Arabidopsis thaliana: one gene and its partners. The protein of the gene in region 2 binds, or shares a complex with, the protein of the main gene of each other region. Each region holds a gene or a part of one and is shown on either strand. Other genes may lie near its edges. The genes, in order: PnsL1, PnsB5, PnsB1 and PnsL4.

What was found.
Region 1: PnsB5 (region 2) and PnsL1 share a complex: the UniProt entries of both Arabidopsis thaliana proteins name them as parts of the chloroplast NDH complex.
Region 3: PnsB5 (region 2) and PnsB1 share a complex: the UniProt entries of both Arabidopsis thaliana proteins name them as parts of the chloroplast NDH complex.
Region 4: PnsB5 (region 2) and PnsL4 share a complex: the UniProt entries of both Arabidopsis thaliana proteins name them as parts of the chloroplast NDH complex.

What each region holds. Positions count from the first base shown.
Region 1 is NC_003071.7:16,473,710-16,479,383, forward strand, and holds PnsL1 (PsbP-like protein 2), read left to right. Parts: upstream 1-2,488; 5' UTR 2,489-2,625; coding exon 2,626-2,685; intron 2,686-2,767; coding exon 2,768-2,849; intron 2,850-2,934; coding exon 2,935-3,039; intron 3,040-3,132; coding exon 3,133-3,206; intron 3,207-3,292; coding exon 3,293-3,415; intron 3,416-3,502; coding exon 3,503-3,574; intron 3,575-3,658; coding exon 3,659-3,755; intron 3,756-3,840; coding exon 3,841-3,944; 3' UTR 3,945-4,134; downstream 4,135-5,674. Other genes in the region: MTP11 (Cation efflux family protein), read right to left, coding at 1-26; RPL23AA (ribosomal protein L23AA), read left to right, coding at 1,340-1,355, 1,659-2,022, 2,111-2,195; ABCB6 (P-glycoprotein 6), read right to left, coding at 4,540-5,674. UniProt on the Arabidopsis thaliana protein: NDH shuttles electrons from NAD(P)H:plastoquinone, via FMN and iron-sulfur (Fe-S) centers, to quinones in the photosynthetic chain and possibly in a chloroplast respiratory chain.
Region 2 is NC_003076.8:17,578,611-17,583,675, reverse strand, and holds PnsB5 (NAD(P)H dehydrogenase 18), read left to right. Parts: upstream 1-2,400; 5' UTR 2,401-2,530; coding exon 2,531-2,752; intron 2,753-2,827; coding exon 2,828-2,891; intron 2,892-2,997; coding exon 2,998-3,060; intron 3,061-3,139; coding exon 3,140-3,198; intron 3,199-3,345; coding exon 3,346-3,576; 3' UTR 3,577-3,809; downstream 3,810-5,065. Other genes in the region: AT5G43755 (non-LTR retrolelement reverse transcriptase-like protein), read left to right, coding at 116-349, 449-699. UniProt on the Arabidopsis thaliana protein: NDH shuttles electrons from NAD(P)H:plastoquinone, via FMN and iron-sulfur (Fe-S) centers, to quinones in the photosynthetic chain and possibly in a chloroplast respiratory chain.
Region 3 is NC_003070.9:5,487,024-5,492,910, reverse strand, and holds PnsB1 (NDH-dependent cyclic electron flow 1), read right to left. Parts: upstream 3,767-5,887; 5' UTR 3,598-3,766; coding exon 3,173-3,597; intron 3,075-3,172; coding exon 2,924-3,074; intron 2,837-2,923; coding exon 2,646-2,836; intron 2,574-2,645; coding exon 2,316-2,573; intron 2,237-2,315; coding exon 2,131-2,236; intron 2,045-2,130; coding exon 1,959-2,044; intron 1,881-1,958; coding exon 1,712-1,880; 3' UTR 1,608-1,711; downstream 1-1,607. Other genes in the region: CNGC7 (cyclic nucleotide gated channel 7), read left to right, coding at 71-384, 470-818, 888-1,607; AT1G15970 (DNA glycosylase superfamily protein), read left to right, coding at 4,417-4,879, 5,468-5,525, 5,613-5,696, 5,811-5,887. UniProt on the Arabidopsis thaliana protein: NDH shuttles electrons from NAD(P)H:plastoquinone, via FMN and iron-sulfur (Fe-S) centers, to quinones in the photosynthetic chain and possibly in a chloroplast respiratory chain.
Region 4 is NC_003075.7:18,424,693-18,430,292, forward strand, and holds PnsL4 (FK506-binding protein 16-2), read right to left. Parts: upstream 3,887-5,600; 5' UTR 3,634-3,886; coding exon 3,286-3,633; intron 3,200-3,285; coding exon 3,107-3,199; intron 2,928-3,106; coding exon 2,867-2,927; intron 2,791-2,866; coding exon 2,722-2,790; intron 2,640-2,721; coding exon 2,557-2,639; 3' UTR 2,065-2,556; downstream 1-2,064. Other genes in the region: AT4G39700 (Heavy metal transport/detoxification superfamily protein), read left to right, coding at 1-214; AT4G39720 (VQ motif-containing protein), read right to left, coding at 4,488-4,504, 4,623-4,661, 5,338-5,600. UniProt on the Arabidopsis thaliana protein: NDH shuttles electrons from NAD(P)H:plastoquinone, via FMN and iron-sulfur (Fe-S) centers, to quinones in the photosynthetic chain and possibly in a chloroplast respiratory chain.

The DNA of each region.
Region 1 (5,674 bases), on a different chromosome or scaffold from region 2:
GAATCTGGACTAGCTGGCTCAACCATTTTTCCGGCGGCGGAGAGAGACTTTGTATTTTTTTTTTTTTTTTTTTGAGAGAGAGAGAGAGTGGTAAGGAAATGGGAAATTTGAAGAGACGGCGAGGGTAAAATCGGTAATTAAGAAAGATTGAGGCTAGCTACTACGACTGTTGTGGTAGTAAGACATTCCTCCACAGAGATACTTGGACCAGCCTTTAGAAGAGACGTCTCTGCTAATTATCCACGTGGCGTTCTCTCAATGGATTTGGGATCTCGCACGTGATTGGAGGAGTCATCATACACACGTGTACAGTTGAGATTCAACTGCAATTAAACGACCCCGTGACATGACATGGTTATGAGTCACATATGTGCCCTCTCAAACTCTATTATGTAGTATAAAAACTGTATTAGATACAACCGACCCAAGATATAGAAGAACCTTTGAAAAATGGTAGAAGCCAGTTCAGCTAAAGCTTTCTTCTTCACAATTATCGTAAAATATTAGACATGTAGAGCAGGCTTGTTGTTCTCTTATTGTCAAGCGTAAGTAAATGATTATTGTTTAGTTTCGTGACCAATTGGTTTGTTTTTTGGTTAGCCATTGTTCGATTTGCTTTGGTTTGGTCAAAGATTGTATGCTTTCAAGTCAAACCAAAGCTGACTAAATTTTATTCTGTAATAATTTACTTTGGAATGGCAAAACCAAAGAAAGGTCATAGACACAAGAGAAGAAGCAAATATGTTTCTTACGCCAAAAGACACGTTTGTATGGTAAGACAAAAGACACGTTTGTATGTTTCTTACGCCAATACCATTACGTTAAAAATAAACTAGTAACTTAAATTTACGCTCACTTTCTATTTGGGTTTTACATGATGATTTTGGTCAAAGGCCTATTTACAATGTTGCAAGCCCATATTATCTTTTAAGTATCTTTTTGTGCAACCAAAAGAATCAGTGATCTTATGCTCATTTTCATTTTTTTCTAATGAAATTTTTCGTCACTTATGGCTTATGCGTCCGATGGACGATTATGGTAAAAGGCCCATTTATTCAATCCAAAGCTTACTGGGTTAGATGATGATTGTGGTAAAAAGGCCCATTATAGACCCAACTAAGTATCTTAGGGTTTCAGTTTCCACTATAAAACTTGTTGCGGCGTAAGTTAGGGTTTTGAGAATCAGCGGCTTCACCTCTCCAGGTTCGTGTCTCGATTTTGCAAACTATCTCTCGAAATCGTCCTACATTTCTTTCTTCAGATTCATTACTGAGCTTCGCTTTCTGGGTTTCTATCTAAAAATTTCACAGATTTCGTGTGTGAAGAATCATTTCAAGCCATGTCTCCGGCTAAAGGTACGATCTTTTCATTGATAACCACTTGAATCTTCACTGGAACATGATGGATTTGGATCTTCTTCTACTAGACTTTAGTTTTGCTGAACCCGCTAGTATCTGGTCTCGATTAATGTTTTCTAATCATGTTTCGTTAGGTGATTAGTTTCAATATCTTCCTGATTAGCTTCAACTAAGTGAGATTAATGTAGTATCCAAATGAATTTTGTCTGTAGACGTGTTTCTGAGTATTCATGTATTGAAGTCAGATTTGTATCAAAGTATTATATGATGCTTAAACTCTCTGTTGTATGTAATTTGCAGTTGATACTACCAAGAAGGCTGATCCTAAGGCCAAGGCCTTGAAGGCGGCAAAGGCTGTGAAGTCTGGTCAAGCCTTCAAGAAGAAGGACAAAAAGATTAGGACCAAGGTCACCTTCCACAGGCCAAAGACTCTTACCAAGCCTAGAACTGGTAAGTACCCAAAAATCAGCGCTACTCCAAGGAACAAGTTGGATCACTACCAAATCCTTAAGTACCCACTCACCACTGAATCTGCGATGAAGAAGATTGAAGACAACAACACTCTTGTTTTCATTGTTGACATTCGTGCTGACAAGAAGAAGATTAAGGATGCTGTTAAGAAGATGTATGACATCCAGACCAAGAAAGTGAACACACTCATCAGGTACTTTAAAGAGTATTTTTCTATGAAGCCTTGTTGTGAGATTGATTATGTTCAATATATTTGACACTATGGTTTGGTTTTGTTACAGGCCTGATGGAACCAAGAAGGCTTACGTGAGGCTTACACCAGACTATGATGCTTTGGATGTTGCTAACAAGATCGGCATCATCTAAGTCTATCTATCTCTGCAGTTATAAAGACTATTGTGGTTTTGTCTCTTGTAGTCTCAGTTTTGCTTTTAAGATATTTATTATTACTATCATCTGGTAATTGTAGTATTTTGGAGCAAAAACGTTTTACAATACATTCATGTTGCAGTTTATTGTTGAATTCAAGTTCTATGTTTTTGACTTATCAAGATTCTCTTTTTAAAACTCACTAACTTATAAACTGTAAACATACAAATGCAGTATCTTCTCTAACCAGTAAATGATCATAAATCGATCTATCACCACATATTGTTTGCATCTTTCATTATCCTTTTATCCACATGTTGATGAATGGAGAAGTCCGAGAAATGACGAAAATCAGAAATTTCTTATCCACATAGAACACTAAGGCAATGTTCATTGATCATCAAAAGTCTTGTGAATTGTAGCCACTATGGCAGTCTCCTCACTCTCAATCCGCTGTGGTGGTTTCTCACCAACAATCTCCCACAAGGTTAATAACACTGTTCTGATTCCAGTCTCCATTTCTGAAAACTAAAAATCATTATTGTTCATTGATTCATATTTCTTACCAGACAGAAATTCTCTGTCCAAATCCATCACTCAAAGCTTGTTGTTTACTTTCATCCGGTGGTAAGGCCGACTCCTCGGAGAGTAGTAAGAAACTAAACTCTTGTGACATTTTCCTTCTCATACGTAATACATTGACTTGTGTGGATTGATTTTTATTAAAATTCAATAGCTTACCAAAAAGGCAGCGGAAACAATTGGAAGAGAAGGCAAGCTCTTGTGGGAGTAGGAACTTTAGTGGCAACTTCAATTCCAGCAACTTTGCTTCTTGCTGAAGGTAATCTGCAAAACTAAGGGTTTTGTTTTTGCCTCTCTTCTTCATTCTTTTGGGACCAAAAGCCTAATATGTTGATTCATATCATGTTTGCAGAGATACCAAAAAGCTACTCGCCTTTTGTGGATCGAGAAGACGGGTATTCTTACTATTACCCATCAGACTGGAGGGTGGGTAATGGCTTTGTTTCCATTTTTGTTGAAAGAATGAAACATAAATGAATTGAGAATATCTCTGTTCTGCCCTTACTACGTAGGAATTTGACTTCAGGGCACATGATTCAGCCTTCAAAGATAGATACTTGCAACTGCAGAATGTGCGGGTCAGGTTCATACCAACGGAGAAAAACGACATCCATGAAGTAGGTCCTATGGAAGAGGTATGTATTACACACCTTACTTTCCCTCTACCATCTATGTCATTAGAGAATTCACATTGGTTCATCATTCTTATATATGTTCATCAGGTGGTTTATGATCTAGTGAAGCATAAGTTTGCAGCACCAAACCAAGTAGCTACCATCTACGATATGAAAGAGGTCAGATGATTGTTAACATCTTAAAGAATCATCAAAGTTGTTGAGAGATTGGATCTTTATAAACAATAAGAGATGAAAATGCAGAGGGTGGAAGATGGAAAGAACTATTACACGTTTGAGTATGGACTAAGAACTCCTATCTATGCAACCACTTCCTTTGCAACAGTGGCAGTTGGAAACAGTAAGCACAGATTATAAGAATTATGAGATAGATGAGAGAAGAAATTGAGGAATAAACAAGTGTTATGACTGATTTGATGTTGCAGACAGATACTACACTCTCATAGTTGGAGCAAATGAGAGAAGGTGGAGGAAAGTGAAAAAGCAGCTTCAAGTTGTGGCCGACTCTTTGAAGATCCTTCAGATTTGACAAACACAAGAAACATCTTACTCCTATATATCTTTCTCTCTCTGTGGTTACAAAACTGTCTGTAGATAACAATTTGATATTTTCATATTCTCTATAACTCCAACGATGGTTTTGGCATTGTGAGTTAGATTCTGAGTTGGTTCAGTAATTCAATCAAACTTGCAAATAAAGTGGAAATAATGTATTTACAAAACAGACATATTTCTTCCTAGCCATTACACACTTCTCCACCTAAATCACTCACAACAACAAAAAAGCAAACCTCAGCAAATAAAATTGCCTCTAATCTTCAGTTTCAATAAACAAATCGATATACCTTAAGAGACCAATCAATGAATAAATAACACAGTCCTACTTCATTGCTTAGCCTCCTGAAAGAATAAGGGAATCTAACGTCTACAAACTCCTAAGTTGCTTACAGAAACTAACCGTGGTTGTACAACTTCTGCTCATCTGCTGTCATCCCGGACCCGATAAGCCTTTGATCAGATGCATGTCCTGTAACTACATCCAATAACGTTATCTCGTGGCATATCACATGATGGTTGGTATGTGACTGAACTAATCTCAATTAGGCACATGAGTCCAATCTCTTTTAGATCAGTTGATGTCGCCGTAGATTCTTGCCAAAATGTGGTTGCATTAAACGGACATACAATCCGTTTTTACCCGCTAAACAATCATGCGTACCTTCCTCTACTATTTTGCCTCCATTGAGAACCACAATGTTATCCACATGTCTCATCATCGCTACTCTATGCGCTATCAGAATTGTTGTTTTGTTCCCCATTATCAATGTATCAAGAGCTTCCTGCACAACACGGCTCGACTCGGATTCGATAGATGAACTCGCTTCGTCAATCAACAGTATTGGAGCATTCTTCAGCACTACCCGAGCTATAGCGATTCTCTGTTTTTGTCCTTGGGTAAGCTCAACACCTCTCATCCCGATATGTGTGTCGTATCCGTGAGGTAAGCTGCTGATGAAATGGTGGGCATTTGCAATCCTTGCTGCTTCCTTCATCTCAGCTTCACTTGCATTGTGCCTTGCGTATATAATGTTTTCTCTGATCGTTGTGGAAAAGATTATGGGTTCCTGTTGAATCAGACCCATATGGCTTCTTAACCATCTCAAATTATATGACTTCAAGTCTCGCCCATCTAATAAGACCTGACCAGCAACTGGGTCGTAGTATCTCTCGATCAACGATATTATTGTGCTCTTTCCAGAACCAGAAACACCAACCACAGCTACTGTTTGTCCGCCATTGACTTTGAGACTGAAGTTGCTTAGTACTAACACTTCCGGGCGGGTTGGGTAGCAGAAGTCGATGTTTTTCAGTTCAATGCTTCCATACACGTTAGGCGGACTAAGAGCCGAGGTATCATCAGGTTCGATTGTAGGAACTCGATCTATTATTTCAAAAACTGAAGCGAGAGATCTACGGCGCTTGAGAATGTAAGGTGCTAATCCGAATGGCTCCACAAGAGCAAATGTAGCAAAGGAGAAGACCATGTACTCGGTTAGAGCTGTAGACAATTTCATATATCTGCGGTCTACTGATAACGCGGTGTACCACAGGAGGAGCGCATTACAGGCGAAGAGAAGAAACTGTGAGAAGCCAAACGCAAAGCCAATAGCCATCCCATGGAAAAAGCTCTGCCTGAGTATCCGTTGGAGTTGCAGTCTGTAGAGTTCCATCACCTTGTTGCCGGCACAGAACGCGACA
Region 2 (5,065 bases):
GGACAACATACAATGCAAGGGCAGCTACCTATCTCGATCCTTTGGAGAATATGGAAAAGCCGTAATAAGCTAGTGTTCCAACGAAAACAGAACGATTGGTGGAGAGATATCAGAGATGCTACAAATGAAGCGGAAGAATGGATCACAAATGGCTTATGTGCGCAAGTTCCCACTCCGAGTACGACTAATGGCACAACTAGGCAGTTTCAGAGTCAGTGGCAAAAACCACATATGGGATGGATTAAGTGTAATTACGATGGCAGCTTTGTGAATCGAGTTCGTGGCTCTACGGCAGCTTGGATAATTAGAGATGATAACGGCGTGTTCAAAGGGGCTGCTCAAGCGACAGGTGCGACCGTTTCCTCAGCCTTTGAAGCAGAATGTCAAAGCCTAATTCTTACCATGCAACAATTATGGATAAGAGGCTTTAGAAAAGTAATACTTGAAGGCGACTGCAAGCTCCTAGTCAATGTTCTGAATGGAAGAGGCTCAAGATTTGATGCTATCAATTGGATCCATGAAATCAAAGTTTGGAGAAATAAGTTTGACGCAATCAAGTTCACGTGGTCACACAGATCAACAAATCAACCTGCTGATATTTTAGCGAAAAACCAGAAACATGCTCTGTCTTCATACATAGTTCATAGCTTTATCCCATTGTGTATCTCAAATGCTCTGTTTTCAGACTACGTTTCCTAAGTAATAAAAATGAAGTTCGTGTTAAAAAAAAAAAAAAAAAAATGATGCCATTAACTCATATCATAAGTTCATAACCCAAAACTAAACTATCGTTTCATGTGTACTAACTACTTGTGAGATTTTCACAAGTCAATAACATGCGTGTGAATCTTTAACGCGTGCGTGATAAGTTTTGTATTTATATCATCATTTGGTATGTGTCAACACACAATTTGGGGAGAGTTTGTGTGGTAAGTAATGCAAAAATATATGTTTGTTATATAACATAGAACTGATTCTAATTGCTAAGAAAATTCCTACCAAACGAAGCAATTACGTTCAACAATTATTCTTAGAAGTTTGAAGAAACCATTCTCTACCACTCCACAATTCTTTCTTCTTCATTGGTTTTACAAATTCTACCTTTTCAAGTCATTCTTAAATCTTAAATAAACAAAACCAGTTTGAATTTTTTTTCGTAGTTGGTAGAAAAGTGTGTTCCAAAATGAGTTCTTTAGAAAAAAAATATTTCCAAAATGAATTATGATTTTTAATCTCTCTGCACCTTTAGTTATATCGGTAAGATATCTCAAATTCTTCAAGCAAATTATGGTACATATTTTCTATAGATAATATTGAAGAAAAAAGGAGCTTAACTAGTGTTGATTTCAACTATCGGAATCAAATATATATTTGCATTTCATTAGACACTAAACCTTTCAACAAAAAAATAATAATAATTCAATAAACACTACATGTGTAAGTGCATGTCACATGGATTACAAATCATTAAGCTAATATCTTCGATGAATTAAGAAGATAAGTGGATAACAAGTACCTAACCGCAATAGTCCATAAATTAAAACATTAATGTATTTGTCGTTGAAAATTTGGCCGACTTTTATTTGTTATTCTAGTTTCCACATCAAAAATGTTTGTACTTCGTAGCAATCCATCCACCTAAACCCCAAATCTTAATTTATATTTGTTGCGTTTAAATTTGGGTGAGATTTGATTCTAAGTAGTTGAGATAAATTGATATTCTATTCATTAGTAAAATGATAGAGAAATTGGTTTATAATAATTTTACCCTAGAACATGACATGATATTGGTAACCATTAATCAAAGAAAGAGCAAAGCATTTAATTTACCCTACTCTCCAACCACTCCAGCCTTTATTAGTTGCAGTTGGGAATCATTTCTTTATGATTCTTATGTCATTGTCTCCTAAATCAATGAAGTGCCTTGACCTTGTTACTAATTCGAACATAGCAAAGCCAACTACATAGATCCTTTACAAAGTTCTAAAAACAGGTTGTTTAGGCGTCTAGACAAACAAAACCATTTTGTACGATTCAACAAATTGGTCCATAGAATGTTATTGATCTTTCTTGTTTAGGCATTCGATAAATCGGCTAATACATTATTTTTTTGTTTTGCTTTTTCCTTATTAAAAATATGCAAAGTATTATGATGTTTAACCTGAACTGAATTTTACATTTAACTGGATATAGGAAAATATTGGGTTGAATTTAATAATTAAGCAATTGTCACGTAAATCAAATTGGGCTTAATATATATTGTTGATTTCAGCAAAGACAAAGTTGGGCCGTTTCAATAGTCTTCACGCGATGTAAGCGTTCACTAACCAACTAGAGAAGACAATCAAATGAATACGTTCCACGTGACGCTTACGAACTTGTCAGTCACTTTGGTAATATGACAGACAGTAACCAGTAAACTACTAATCTCTTTCGCTAACGAACACACAAAAAAAAAAAGAACCGTTTTTTCTTTCTATGGCTCCAAAACTCTGAGACAGAGCAAGAAAAAGATAAAGTGAGTGAAAAAATGGCAACGGTCACGATTCTCTCACCCAAATCGATTCCAAAGGTCACTGATTCCAAATTCGGAGCTAGGGTTTCTGATCAGATCGTCAATGTCGTAAAATGCGGCAAATCCGGCCGGAGATTGAAGTTAGCGAAGCTGGTCTCAGCGGCTGGATTGTCACAGATCGAACCAGACATCAACGAAGACCCGATTGGTCAATTCGAGACTAATAGCATTGAAATGGTAAAGATTCAATTGATTTTAAATTCATAATTCTGCTGAAAGTTGTTTCTGATTGGTTAGCGCTTTTGTTAATAGGAAGATTTCAAGTATGGATATTACGATGGAGCTCATACTTACTATGAAGGAGAAGTTCAAAAGGGTATAATTTTGGTTTCTCCTATTGATTCTTGTCGCTGTTTCGATTTTAGAGCTATAATATTTCTTTGTTTGATTGATTGATTAGTCTTCTTGGAAATGTTTCTTAGGAACATTTTGGGGAGCAATTGCTGATGACATTGCTGCTGTGGATCAAACTAATGGGTTTCAAGGTATGAATTTAACCCGCTTTTTAGTGCTTTTTATGTACCGCAGATTGATTGAAAACTCGCGGTTTTTTTATGTCTGCAGGTTTGATCTCTTGTATGTTTCTTCCTGCTATAGCTCTTGGGATGTATTTTGATGCTCCGGTAACTTCAAAATCTTTTGCTTGCTTCCAAAATTTATCATTACTAGTTTTATCGCTTTTGTTTTGTGGAGGACGTACAAGAGATTAGATAATTAAGCCAAGTATGAGAAGAAAAAGAATCACCAGTGTTTGTGTGTGTGTGTTGCAGGGTGAGTACTTGTTCATAGGTGCAGCGTTATTCACGGTAGTGTTCTGTATAATAGAGATGGATAAACCTGACCAGCCACACAACTTCGAGCCTCAGATATACAAATTGGAGAGAGGAGCTCGTGACAAGCTCATTAATGACTACAACACAATGAGCATTTGGGACTTTAATGACAAATATGGTGATGTATGGGATTTCACCATTGAGAAAGATGATATCGCCACACGATAAGATAATGGATTGTGATCTCGTTATAATCATGACTTTTGATGTAAACTGTTTTATAAAATTGATGAATGAACGGGGTACAATGTGTATAATATTGATTGTTCATTCTCTTATTTTTCTTTAGTACCATAAAACCTAGATTCTCATCTTGTAGTGTTAGGTTTCTGTTCTTCACTATATGTTTTTTTAAGATCTAAGTACCTCGTATGGACCCAACGAGTTTCCATACCCATCATTAGTTCATACAATGGTGGATAAACCATACAATTTGAGGTTGACGTATGCCACACGCTAACTTCATCCCCTGGTCCAAACACAACAATATAGTGTTCCAGTATTGTGGAAGAGTCCGAGGAGCTAAACACACCTTCGAGTTCTATCGAGTTGGAACATCAAGTGACAAACCAGCTCCACTCCTAATCCCTAGTCTCTCTACAAGAAAATGCTTTAACGTATCTCTGACACTTTCTTTAATATTGTGCAAACTATTCGTAAGTTCCATACCAGTTTTTACTATGATACTAGATGAGTACCCACGCTACGCGTGGGTTTGTTTTGAAAATTGTTAAAAAATATTTAGATTGATTGTTAGTTTTGCTAATTTATGTTTATTTTTGTATTGTTAATGAAATTAGATCCATATTATTTACAATTTTTATGGTTAGATTCATTTGTAACTCGAAATATCAATTTCTAATTTTCATGTATAAAGCTATTTATAAGATGTTAATATTTGTTCACTATCAAAAATACATATAACAACAATATATGATATTTTGATACAATTATGTGTAACCATGTTACTTGTGTGGTTTAAAATTTATCTTACTCGATTATAAATAAATCAATTCTTTGTTTTATGTACTTCAACAACATTGTGATAAGCTCATGATTAAAGTTTTGATTGACTTCAACTGAACAAGATCTGAAGAGTATTCGTATGAAAAAGGGGTATGAAGAAAATAAAAAGATAGCAAAAACTAAATGTCATTTAAGTCAACACTTTTAGATCTTCTGTCATTGCATATATCAATATTAGAAAAATGATCGTGTTTTGCATGATTTGAAAATTGTCTAACTTGATTATAAATAAACTATTTTTGGTTTATGTATTCCCTGATATAATACTCCAACAACATTGTTATAGGCTCATGATTAAATATATAGAATTAATATAAATTGAACAAGATTTCAAGAGTATTCATATGAAAAAATAAAAAGAAAGCAAAAATGAAAGTATCATTTAAGTCAATACTTTTAGATCTTCTGTCATTGCATATATCCATATAAGAGAAATGATCGCGTATTAAATTATTTGGTAGGTCTTATAGAGTAGTGATTATTGCTATAAAAAAAATTTAGTCATTATAGAGTAGTGATTATTGCTAAAAAAATATAAATAAAAAGAATATAATGAAAGTAGTGCTTAATTTATTAACATATTTTTTTGTTTTTTATTTTTATTTTAAAAAAATCAATCAAGAGTAGGATT
Region 3 (5,887 bases), on a different chromosome or scaffold from region 2:
TCTTAATTAGTGTTTTGAGACATTTATTCATCATTGGTCACTTTCTGACTTTACAAACACATTTTGACAGATAACTGGAGCGTTTTGGTACATGTTGTCAGTGGAGCGTAACGATACTTGTTGGAGATTTGCGTGTAAAGTTCAGCCAGATCCGCGACTCTGTGTTCAGATTCTGTATTGTGGGACTAAATTTGTGAGCAGTGGAGAAACTGAATGGATCAAAACAGTCCCTGAGCTTCTTAAGAGCAATTGTTCTGCTAAAGCAGATGATTCAAAGTTTAACTATGGGATATACGGTCAGGCTATATCTTCAGGCATTGTATCATCAACAACATTTTTCTCCAAGTTCTGTTATTGTCTATGGTGGGGTCTTCAAAATCTCAGGTAAGGCGGGGGCAACTCATTGTCATTGGTTCAACCGATAGCTTGTGCAGAGTACTCTTGACATCTTTGGTGTTTTCATGAACAGCACGTTAGGTCAAGGGCTGCAGACAAGTACATTTCCAGGAGAGGTTTTGTTTTCCATTGCGATTGCTATAGCTGGGCTTCTTCTTTTCGCGCTTCTCATCGGGAATATGCAGACTTATCTTCAGTCACTTACTGTTCGTCTCGAGGAAATGAGGATCAAAAGACGTGACTCAGAACAGTGGATGCATCACAGGTCACTTCCACAAAATTTGAGGGAAAGAGTCAGACGCTATGATCAATACAAATGGTTAGAGACAAGAGGTGTAGACGAAGAAAACATAGTTCAGAGTTTACCTAAGGATCTCAGAAGAGACATCAAACGCCATCTCTGTCTGAATTTAGTTAGGAGGGTAAGTTTTCACAATCAGAATGCTAAAATTGCTTGAGATACTAACTAACTATGTGTTCTGTTTCTACAGGTTCCTCTGTTTGCTAATATGGATGAAAGATTACTTGACGCAATCTGTGAGAGATTAAAGCCGAGTCTTTTCACGGAAAGCACTTACATTGTGCGTGAAGGAGACCCCGTTAACGAAATGATGTTCATAATCCGAGGCCGGTTAGAAAGTGTAACAACAGATGGGGGAAGAAGCGGTTTCTTCAACAGAGGGTTGTTAAAAGAAGGAGACTTTTGTGGTGAAGAGCTTCTGACATGGGCTCTTGACCCTAAAGCAGGCTCAAACTTACCTTCTTCCACAAGAACAGTGAAGGCTCTGACTGAAGTAGAGGCTTTCGCTCTTGAAGCTGAAGAGCTGAAGTTTGTAGCAAGTCAGTTTAGGAGACTTCATAGTCGACAGGTTCAACAAACATTTAGGTTTTACTCTCAGCAATGGAGAACTTGGGCTTCTTGCTTCATCCAAGCTGCTTGGCGTCGCTATTCAAGAAGGAAAAACGCTGAATTGAGACGGATTGAAGAAAAAGAAGAAGAATTGGGTTATGAAGATGAATATGATGATGAGAGTGACAAGAGGCCTATGGTTATCACAAGAAGTGAGTCTTCTTCTAGACTGCGTTCAACGATATTTGCATCAAGATTTGCTGCTAATGCATTGAAAGGGCACAGACTTAGGAGCTCAGAGAGTTCAAAGACCTTGATAAATCTGCAAAAGCCTCCGGAACCTGATTTTGATGCTGAATAATCCAATTCTTGATGAGAGGCCAACATCAGAACAGAGACTACATAACTGATTTATACACATAAATGCTCTATATATAGAACTTGTTTCAGAAACTGTAAAGTTATCTACACGAGAGCCAATGATCCTTCAAAGACCTGCATTGCATTTTTAACAGTTCCAATGTCGATATCTGCTAGTTTTCCAGTCTTCGAAGCAATAATTACACAGTTACTCTTCTCTTCTGCATACGGTACAAAGAGCTTCCCTTTCTCTTCTGAAGAGAACAACCCAATACTGGAAGAAAAAGAAGCACACACATGTTAGTTCTTGAAAACATTGAATCAGTACTCTTTATATTACTCAGGTATTCACCATGGTTTGTCTCGCGCATTAGCTAGTTGAATCGCAGCTGTGTTTGTTGCGATGACTCCAGCAGAATCGTTTATCAGAGCAGCCAACTAAGTAAGCTCAAGAAAAGGAATCAAAGTAAGATCAGTGAATTCAACTTTGTTCATAACAAATACAGACAGATAAGCATGCATACCTGTCCTGGTGTTGTGATGAACACTATAGATGTATCATCACCCACAAAATCTTCAACGTTTTCTCTTTCTTTCTCATGTGGAATCACAAAGACCGGCTTGAATCCCCTGGCATTGTTCACAATCATATCTCAGAGAATTTCAAACTAAGCAAAAAATTCACATTTTGAAGGTGTGTAATAATTACCTTACACCCTTTATAATCTTAGCCCATTTTTCAAGTGAAAGTAAACTATCAGCATCTCCTTTTGATTGCATTGATGCCTTAGAATCTGATTCAATACCATGAATCACTATAAACTTCCCCGTCACTGCTCCAGCATTCCTATACTTTGCAGCCACAACCTCTTTCACTTTCCGTGAAATCGATACCCTAAGTGGCAACAGAGGAGTCCTTGGAACACTCCTAAACGGTCTTCCTAACCAATCTTCCATCTGAGTATACCTGAAACCATCAACAGTCAATTTAGACAGGCGATAAAAAAACCTGCAGTTTCTTCGGTTTCAAGGAACTCACATGCTATAACCTAATTCTGAAAGGTTGGTATTTTCTGCTGTAAAGGTCTCGGACAGCATCAGACCAGCTCCTGCAGAGTTAACATTCGGGTAAATGTAACTAACCCTGTCTCGAGCCGTTGTCATGAACAAGAACGCTGCGTGGCCTAACCCTGCTAGCTTCGTGGACAGAACCATGTCATAGTACCTTCCCTGAAACATGACTTAAAAGAAAAGTTAACTAAGCAGTCTGATAAAGGAAAGATAGAAAAAACGTTGAAATATTTGAAAGTTACAAACTTTGAGGAGTCCGATCATGTCTGTGTATTCAGCTGGTTCAGGCCAATGATCATCCGGATCATACACATTGGCCCATCTCACGTTTTTGTTTAGCTCGTATGTTTGTTTTCCTCTTTCAGTCGTTAATATATCTACCTGAACACCAGGATACCTTACAAAACAACAGAAACGTACGGACAATGTTCTGCATTTCAGTTTAAGGTTTTAAAAAAATGTCGAATCGGAGACAGAGTCTTATACTTTTATTACCTGTCTTTGATTAGCTGAATAGTCGGGAAAAAGAGTAGATTCTCGTAAACGCCACCGGAGATAACGCAGCAACATCGTCTAACATCTCCTCTGATTTTCAACGGTAAAGAAGCAAGCTCGACGGTGTAACCCTTTGGAAACTTCAAGAAGCCGTAAGGGTTATCAGGATTATCCGGTGGTCTTGGATCCTCGTCTTGTTTTCCGTCGGCAAACAAGGACCCGTATTCGTTATCCGGGTCTTCACCGCTATCAAACGGGTCGAGCCACGGATTATTCTTCTTCTTGAGATTGACCGATACATCGGAAGATCTCGACGTAAGACGAGTTTGAAAGTTGAGGAAGACGAGTGGTTTGGAGGTAGAAAACGGCGGCGTTTTAAAGAATGGGGAAATGGGTTTGGGTAACAGAGGAAGTGAAGAAGCCATTGGAAGGTTTTTTTGAGCCAAAGAAAGAAAAGTTTGGATTTTTAAATGTTGTGAAAGAAAACAGATCTCTGTAGGAACTTAGGATAAGTGGGTCCCTTTTGTGGCAATTTTCCGACCATAGAAGAAAACTTAGCATTTAATTTATTTATTTTGGTTATGGCAATTCCAGAAATTATTCTCTGTTCGATTAATTAAAACTTTTGTCTTTACATTGGTTGATACGCACGAGCAAAGAAACATTCCTAATCTCAGAACTCAGAAGCATTAACCAACTGATTACAGTAAGCAATTAAACCATTTAACTTGTCGGGTCGAGCAATAAGGACCCGTTTCATTGTCGGGTCGAGGAACAAAAGAACAGAAAAAGCAGAAGAACCAAACGATGACGTGTTAAGTCGTGACTGGTGAATGACCTTTTCTCCTCGTCTCTCTCTCTCGATTTGATTCGTTTCGTCGTCGATCAGAAAAAGCTTCTTTCTTTCTTTTTTTTTTCTGGGTTTTTCTGAAGTCAAAAGCTTTTTTTTTCTTCATTGTTCAAAGATTTTATTTTGTTGCTCATTGTTTCTAACCTTGCTTTTCTCGTGAACACAGCAAGCAACTTGGTTTAGTTTTACTAGAAGATTCCTAAAAATGAGATATTTAGCGGTGACAAAAAAGTTTCATTTTTGGTGCTAATGTAGCTGTAAAGTCTAGGCCTTCCGATATATAATCTCTTGAAATAAGTTTCGAGACTGTTGGAAATAGCAATTTTGTTGTTGTTGTGTGATCCAGTGATAGATCTGTGAAATCAAAAAGCAGTTTTTTGTGAGAATCGGGTCAATGTCGGTTCCTCCTAGATTCCGGTCCGTAAATTCCGATGAGCGAGAGTTCCGATCAGTTCTTGGTCCTACCGGGAACAAGCTGCAGAGGAAACCACCGGGGATGAAACTGGAGAAGCCGATGATGGAGAAGACCATCATCGACTCAAAAGATGAGAAAGCGAAGAAACCAACTACTCCGGCTTCACCAAGGACGACTCTGAAGCAATGCTCGTCTCTTTGCTCTTCGATTTTGAGAAAGAATAGTGCTTCAATGACTGCTTCGTATTCCTCTGATGCTTCGTCTTCGTGTGAGTCATCGCCTTTGAGCGTGGCGTCTTCTTCGAGCTGTAAGAAGGTTGTGAGGCGAAGTGGGTCTGTCTCTTCTACAAGGAAGCTGAGTGTTGGGAAAGAAGAAGAGAAGGTTTCTGGTGATTGCTTCGCTGATGGTCGTAAAAGGTGTGCTTGGATCACACCTAAAGCTGGTAAGCATCAAACTTTCACCTATCACACATTGCATAGTGAGAGAGCTTTTGACTTTAGATGCATTCAAATAAATGAAATGAGTGAAAATGTGAATGTGAGATTGAGTTTAGCCTGATTGTGTGAGATGATAAAGTTCTTATCTAGTTGAATCAAATGGGACTGAATTGAGACAAGGAGCTAGTGTTTTTTGTTTGATCTAATTATGTTCTTCTGTATGTGAATATTAAGTAATTCAATGGCCAACAAAATGTTTCAATTGCTATGTATTTTATTCAGTGAGCATTGTGTAGATCATTTGCTATGTTGCATAACTTATGAAGTAGCTTGTCCTGAAGTTCTCTTATAAATATTTTAACTTCTCAGTGTCCATGAAATTTAGATGAAGGATGTTTTGATTAGCTGATAGATCCACTTCGTTTATGCTTTTAGTGTAAGCCAAACAGCGTTTTCTGGATTCTCTATACTAATGAGCATAAATGTTTCCATGCCAAGAGGCACTTTCCATTATTCTTTGTTGTTCTCTCATGCTTCATATCTTTCTCTGCTGTAAATTGACTAATAATGTTGCGTTTTTCTACGTTGTAAAGACCCGTGCTATGTTGCTTTCCATGACGAAGAATGGGGAGTTCCTGTACATGACGACAAGTATGTGGCATCCTCAACTATTTTCCTTCTATCTGAGATACACTTTGTAGTTATAAGAGTCTCTTACCGCTTGGTTAACTTGTGTAGGAAGCTTTTTGAGTTATTATGCCTCTCTGGTGCTCTAGCCGAACTCTCATGGACCGACATTCTCTCCAGAAGACATATACTCAGGTAACCAAACCAAGTTCTTTAGTAATATGAATTTTGAATTCGCAATATAAACTTCTGATGCTAAGCCAGTAGCTCTGATCTCTGATTGCCTAATTTGCTTCTTATTTGAAACAGGGAAGTTTTTATGGACTTCGATCCAGTCGCTGTAGCTGAATTGAATGACAAAAAGTTAACAGCGCCAGGTACTGCTG
Region 4 (5,600 bases), on a different chromosome or scaffold from region 2:
GACGGGGAAGAAAGCCGAGATATGGCCGTACGTACCGTACAACTTGGTGGCTCAGCCGTACATAGCTCAGGCTTATGATAAGAAAGCACCGCCTGGTTACGTCAGAAAAGTTGACCCAAACGTCACCACCGGGACGATGGCTGTTTACTACGATGACCCTTCTTATACTTCTTTGTTTAGTGATGATAATCCTAATGCTTGCTCTATTATGTAGTTTTTTTTTATTTATTAGATAATTTATAAAGGAATTTATATAATATATGCCGGTAATATATGCATAAATGTGGGTTATAAATTTTGGTGTTTGTTCTCTTTTAGTTCATGGTTTTGTCTTCTTTTGCATGTGCTCTTTGTTGGTGTTACAAGTGAATGTTTTATTAATATTAATATAGATCTAGTATTATATTAGCTTAATCAATTGGATATCGTAAGTAATCATTGTTTACTATCATTGGAAGATATAAGTGGAAACTAGTTAATTTTTTCTATGCTAGTTTCAAACTTACAAAACAATAACAAAGACGTTTGTTTTTGGTTAAGGTGTTTCATGGTCTTTTAATTTGAGTTTAGTTTTTTGGGACCCCAATATTCTAACTCTTTTCACCCACTCTCTTTCTCTTTTACATACATTATTAAAAGAAAAATCCAAAAATGGATAGTAAAGATCGATCACATAAAGCTTAAAAAAACTGTGTATCATAACATACACGGGTCATGTAATCTTTCTATACATACAACTACCCCCACCATACTATATTTTAAAGGACTTATTCAACAATTTTTACTGATATGATTCTTGCTCTTCAGTCTTCAGGTGTAAACAAAGTAAGAGCATCCTCAACAATAAGCTCTTATTAAAAACCTCTTAACAACAATAACAATGATTATTTTATTATAATATTATTATATAAATAAATTTTAAGTTTAAGAAAAAAATGAACCAATGTATAAGTGACATGTGGCTTAGGTGGTTTACTTGATTATTAAAAACCTCTCTTCATTCTCTTATCTAAGAGCTCCTCTTCATTTTTTCTCTTCTTCTTTCCATGTTTTTATTTTTATATTACTAGATGAATTCCCACGCTACGCGTGGGTTTGTTTTAAAAATTCTTTAGATAAAAATATGTTAATTATTTTTGTCGCTAATTTATGTTTACTTTTTGTTTGTTATTTTATACTTAGTAAAATTAGACTCATCTTATGTACTTACATTTTTATTGTTAGATTCATTTTTGACTCTAAATATCAATTTTTATATATTTTCATGTATAATCTGATTATTTTTATATCCAAAATTCTAAAATTTGTTCATTATCATGAATACACACAATAAGAATATAAGATATTTTGATTTCAAGAGTTTTCGTATGAAAAAAAAGAAGCAAAAATTAAAGAGTTATTTTAGTAACACTTTTTAGATTTTATACTATTGCATATAGCCGTATAAGACAAATGGATTTGTTTTGAATTTTGTGGTATGTTTAACGTCTCAAAAGTCTATTACTTAAAAATATTGAATGTCAATGTTACGAACTTACCTAAAGATACAAAAATAAAAATACAGAATTTCATATGATAAGATATGAACCATAACGTAATAATAATTAAAAAATCAAGGTAAAATAACTACACTAATATTAGGTAGCAAACAAATAAACTACAACATAAACAACTATTTAGTCATTATAGAGTGATGACCATTGACCATTAAAATTTTTAAAAATAAAAAATAATAAAAGTAAAATAAAAGTAGTAATTGATTTATTTAAATAAGTAATTTTATTTATATTTATATTTTGAAAAAATCATTTAAGAAATGAATTAATGGAGGATTTAACACAATATGAGATTTTTTATTTTCTCTCAATTAATTTTGCTAATTTTAATTTAATCAATATTAAATGACACATGATATTTTCTTATGTGATGATGTGTCACCCATATGGAGAGAGTTGGCCAACTTTCATATATATGATTTCTTTAAAAACCTCATTTATCTTAGAACCCTCCATTGAGGATGGCCTAACATCAGCCTTTAAGAACCTCCGGTACGCTGTAAATTAGCTCATGCACTGTGTTTTTCCTGGAAAATCGAAAAATGAAGATTTGTCTTATGTATTTTCAACATGCTCAAGTAGGCAAGAACCAAAGTTTTACACTTTTTTTGGCCTTAAGATTCATGAGTTGTTGTGAGGGGACCAATTACAGAGATATGACACCGATGAAAAACCACATCACACAACTTTATTCTAGACTCTGTACATCTTTGTGACACAAGCTGCATCACTTACCAAGACTGAATCTAACCTAACACGCGCTTATACATTTATGCAAGTATATGATTTTCCAAGGTCATAACTTAACAAAAAGACAGATCTGCACAGAGAAGATGTGTCTTGTTCTTTAATAGGAGGTTAGACATTGGATTCAGTTGGAAATCATCAATGTTTTAGGTTACAGAAATTATAATCTGAAGCTTGTCAAAAGTAATCACCTGGTGATATACATCACATACATAGTTGTTTGTTCCTTTACCAAACGGGATTGGAGTTGGCTTCATCTTGTATTACTTCCTGGGTAGATCTCAACAAAGTTGATATCATAGAGCAAAGTTGCATTGCCAGGTATGTTGCAGTCACCTGCATAAAGAGTCGATTTATTACTCGAGATACATATCTTACATATACAAGTGAAACTGTTACAGAGGAATTGTGCAAGTACCAGAAAAGCATCCTGCAGGCTCTGGTCCATAAGCTAACTTAGGTGGAATCTGAAGTTTACGCTTTCCGCCTGCAAAATAAAACCGCACCAATATGTTATCAGCCAAATAAAGGACATTGAACAAAGGAAAATACAGTACACTTGCCTACTCGCATAGGAGGTACTCCTTCGCCTCCAAGAATCCCCTGGTCTAGTCCCCTAATTACCTGATCATTTTTGGACATCAAGAGTTTAGATATATAGTTGTTTTGCTCACCCTAATCACAAAGAAGAACATAAGAAACTAACTAACTTCAACAAAGACAAGTGTGAACTTTGCTAGCAATGCAATTGAAGACTATGGAAGCTAACAAAGAGAGAGAGAGACAATGGTTCTTTGTTGTACCTTGCCGACTCCAATTCGCATAGTAAGTGGTCTTGCACGCTTATAGCTACTGTCAAACAACGTTCCATCTGCAAACCTCGCCGTGTAATGGATCTGTGTGTGTGTGACCAACTCTCCAAAGTCTCAAACTTTGAATCAAAAACCCTAAACAGAGGAAATTAGAGAGATGGAGAGATTACATTGACGAGTACGCCACGAGGGGCTTCATCACCAAATCCAACATCGAGATCGCAAAATCCAAGTCCTGATTTTGCGTAGCTGTATTCGCAGAGAGGATCTCCTACAGTGGCGTAGTAGTCAATCCTCGTGGCGTCTGCGTCCAGAGGCGTTAGAGAGAGAATCGAAGAAGCTAGGAACCCTAAACCCACTCCGAAAACGCGTTTCTTGACGGAGAGTTTCGGCTCGCAATCGGAGGAAGAAGAACAGAGACACGAAAAGGACGAGGAAGAAGAAGAAGAAAAGAAGATGGTTGGTCTGAAGGAACGTGTATAGAGAGATTGTGTGAGTGTTAAAGTAGAAATCGCCATTCTTCTTTGAGTCTTCGTTTCGATCTCTGCTTCCTTATCTGCGTGAAGCCAGAGCCTTTGGTCTGAATCTTTTGTCTTTTGAGTGTGCAACGGTACAATGGATATGATTATGGGACCCACCCGTATTTTTTTGGATTTCTATTTTCAACAGAACAAAAATAATAATGAAACTTTTGGAGCCAATCGGCCCACAAAATTGAGAACCCGAATCGAATTATTTGGATAGTAAGATAATGGCCAGACCTAGTTATCACTCAACTATGAAACCGAGTATCATCTGAATACATAGAAAACCCATCAGTGCGACAATAGCTTGATATCATGGTCCACCATAACCACCACCATAATATTAAACCATCATCATCACCCATTATTATATATTCCATTTAGATAGAGATACACATATATGCACATTGTTGATAGTTTATGTAAGTGATGTGTATAGGTTATACAGTGCATTGGTGACTTAAGTGTAACTGGTCCGTGGACAAAAAAATATCAAAATCATTTGAACTTTTGTATACACAAGAACAAGCAAAAGATTTTTCATCAAATGTCATTATTTGTTTTGCGACCATCAATCCATCATCAAATCTTATTGTGAAAAACAAGAATTATTATTTTTAAGAGTTACTATTATACTATACAGTAGCAAATGATATTATTGAAAACCCCGCTTACAAAGAACTGACATTTCATTCTGAAGTGTTGTTAAGCTAGAGACTAGAAAGAGATATAAATTAAGCTGAATATTCTAACGATTGATTGGTTAATGAGAAGACTGAAAAAAGTTAGGAATTTTGTAGACGCATCACATTCAGAGCCGTGACAAGGTCAATGGTTGTCGGAGGCGGTCAAATGAAATTTGCCCCTATTCACAAACAAAGAGACTTATAATAATAGAAGTAAAAGTGTCTATAAAGATAAATTGTCATATGACAAAAGTAGGTCAAAACCAAAATGTATGTATAATTATCATTATTGATTACCTGTTTTTCTTTTGCTTGGGAAATTTTCAAATTTCAAATCTGTTGGTATGGTAAAATGAGAGTCAAGTCAATAAAAATTGACGTTAATGTAGATGATACACCAAAAATGAATAAGCACATGGGAGAACAGTAATTTATCAAATTTCAAATCACCACAAGTCTATAATTAATTAATAATTATATACTATGGTCCCAAAACCATATTCCACAATCCGGCGGCCGTGGAAGATTCCCCAAATTTCGCCACCATTCACTCCAATATTAATTAGGAGAAATATTAACCGTAGTGATCCCAAAACCACGTACTGTATATTGATTGTTGAAAAATTAAAATTTCATATCGCAAGTCATCGTTGTCATTAAAATTTAAAAGTTCTATATAATTATAAGAAAATATACCAAGAAAATCTGATTCAAATGGTGAGATCCATCTACTAACTAATACTTACCAACATATAGTTATGGAAAAAACTAAGATTAACAAATAACAAGCATATTAATTAAGTATTAAATAATTAACAAACCCTACACGAAAAAAGTTTTAAAGTGGTTTATACTGAAATATAGAATATATAAACGAGTAACTTCATCATGCTATATGTGCTATGTTTAATTTGTTGAGTAATCATGTCAAGAGATTAGCTTTGATTTCGGACTTGGACTATACATAAATATATTTATGTTCTCTGGTCGGAAGACGAAGATAACCAAGTACCGTCATTATTATGTTCATGATCGGAGCCACCGTAGCTTCCATTATCACCGGTGTTTATGTTCCCGTTAGCCGCTGCCGTTGTAGTAGGAGGATTAGTAGATGGAGTCTGCATCATACCAAGACCAAACTGATCGTGCTCATTGCTTCTAGGGTTTGAAATATGAGCTTGAAGAAGAGCTTGCAGATTCATATCCTCGAAACCGTTGTTAGGGTTTTGATATTGCTGAATTTGTGATCCGGATAAGAGAGGAGTCGCTGGAGTG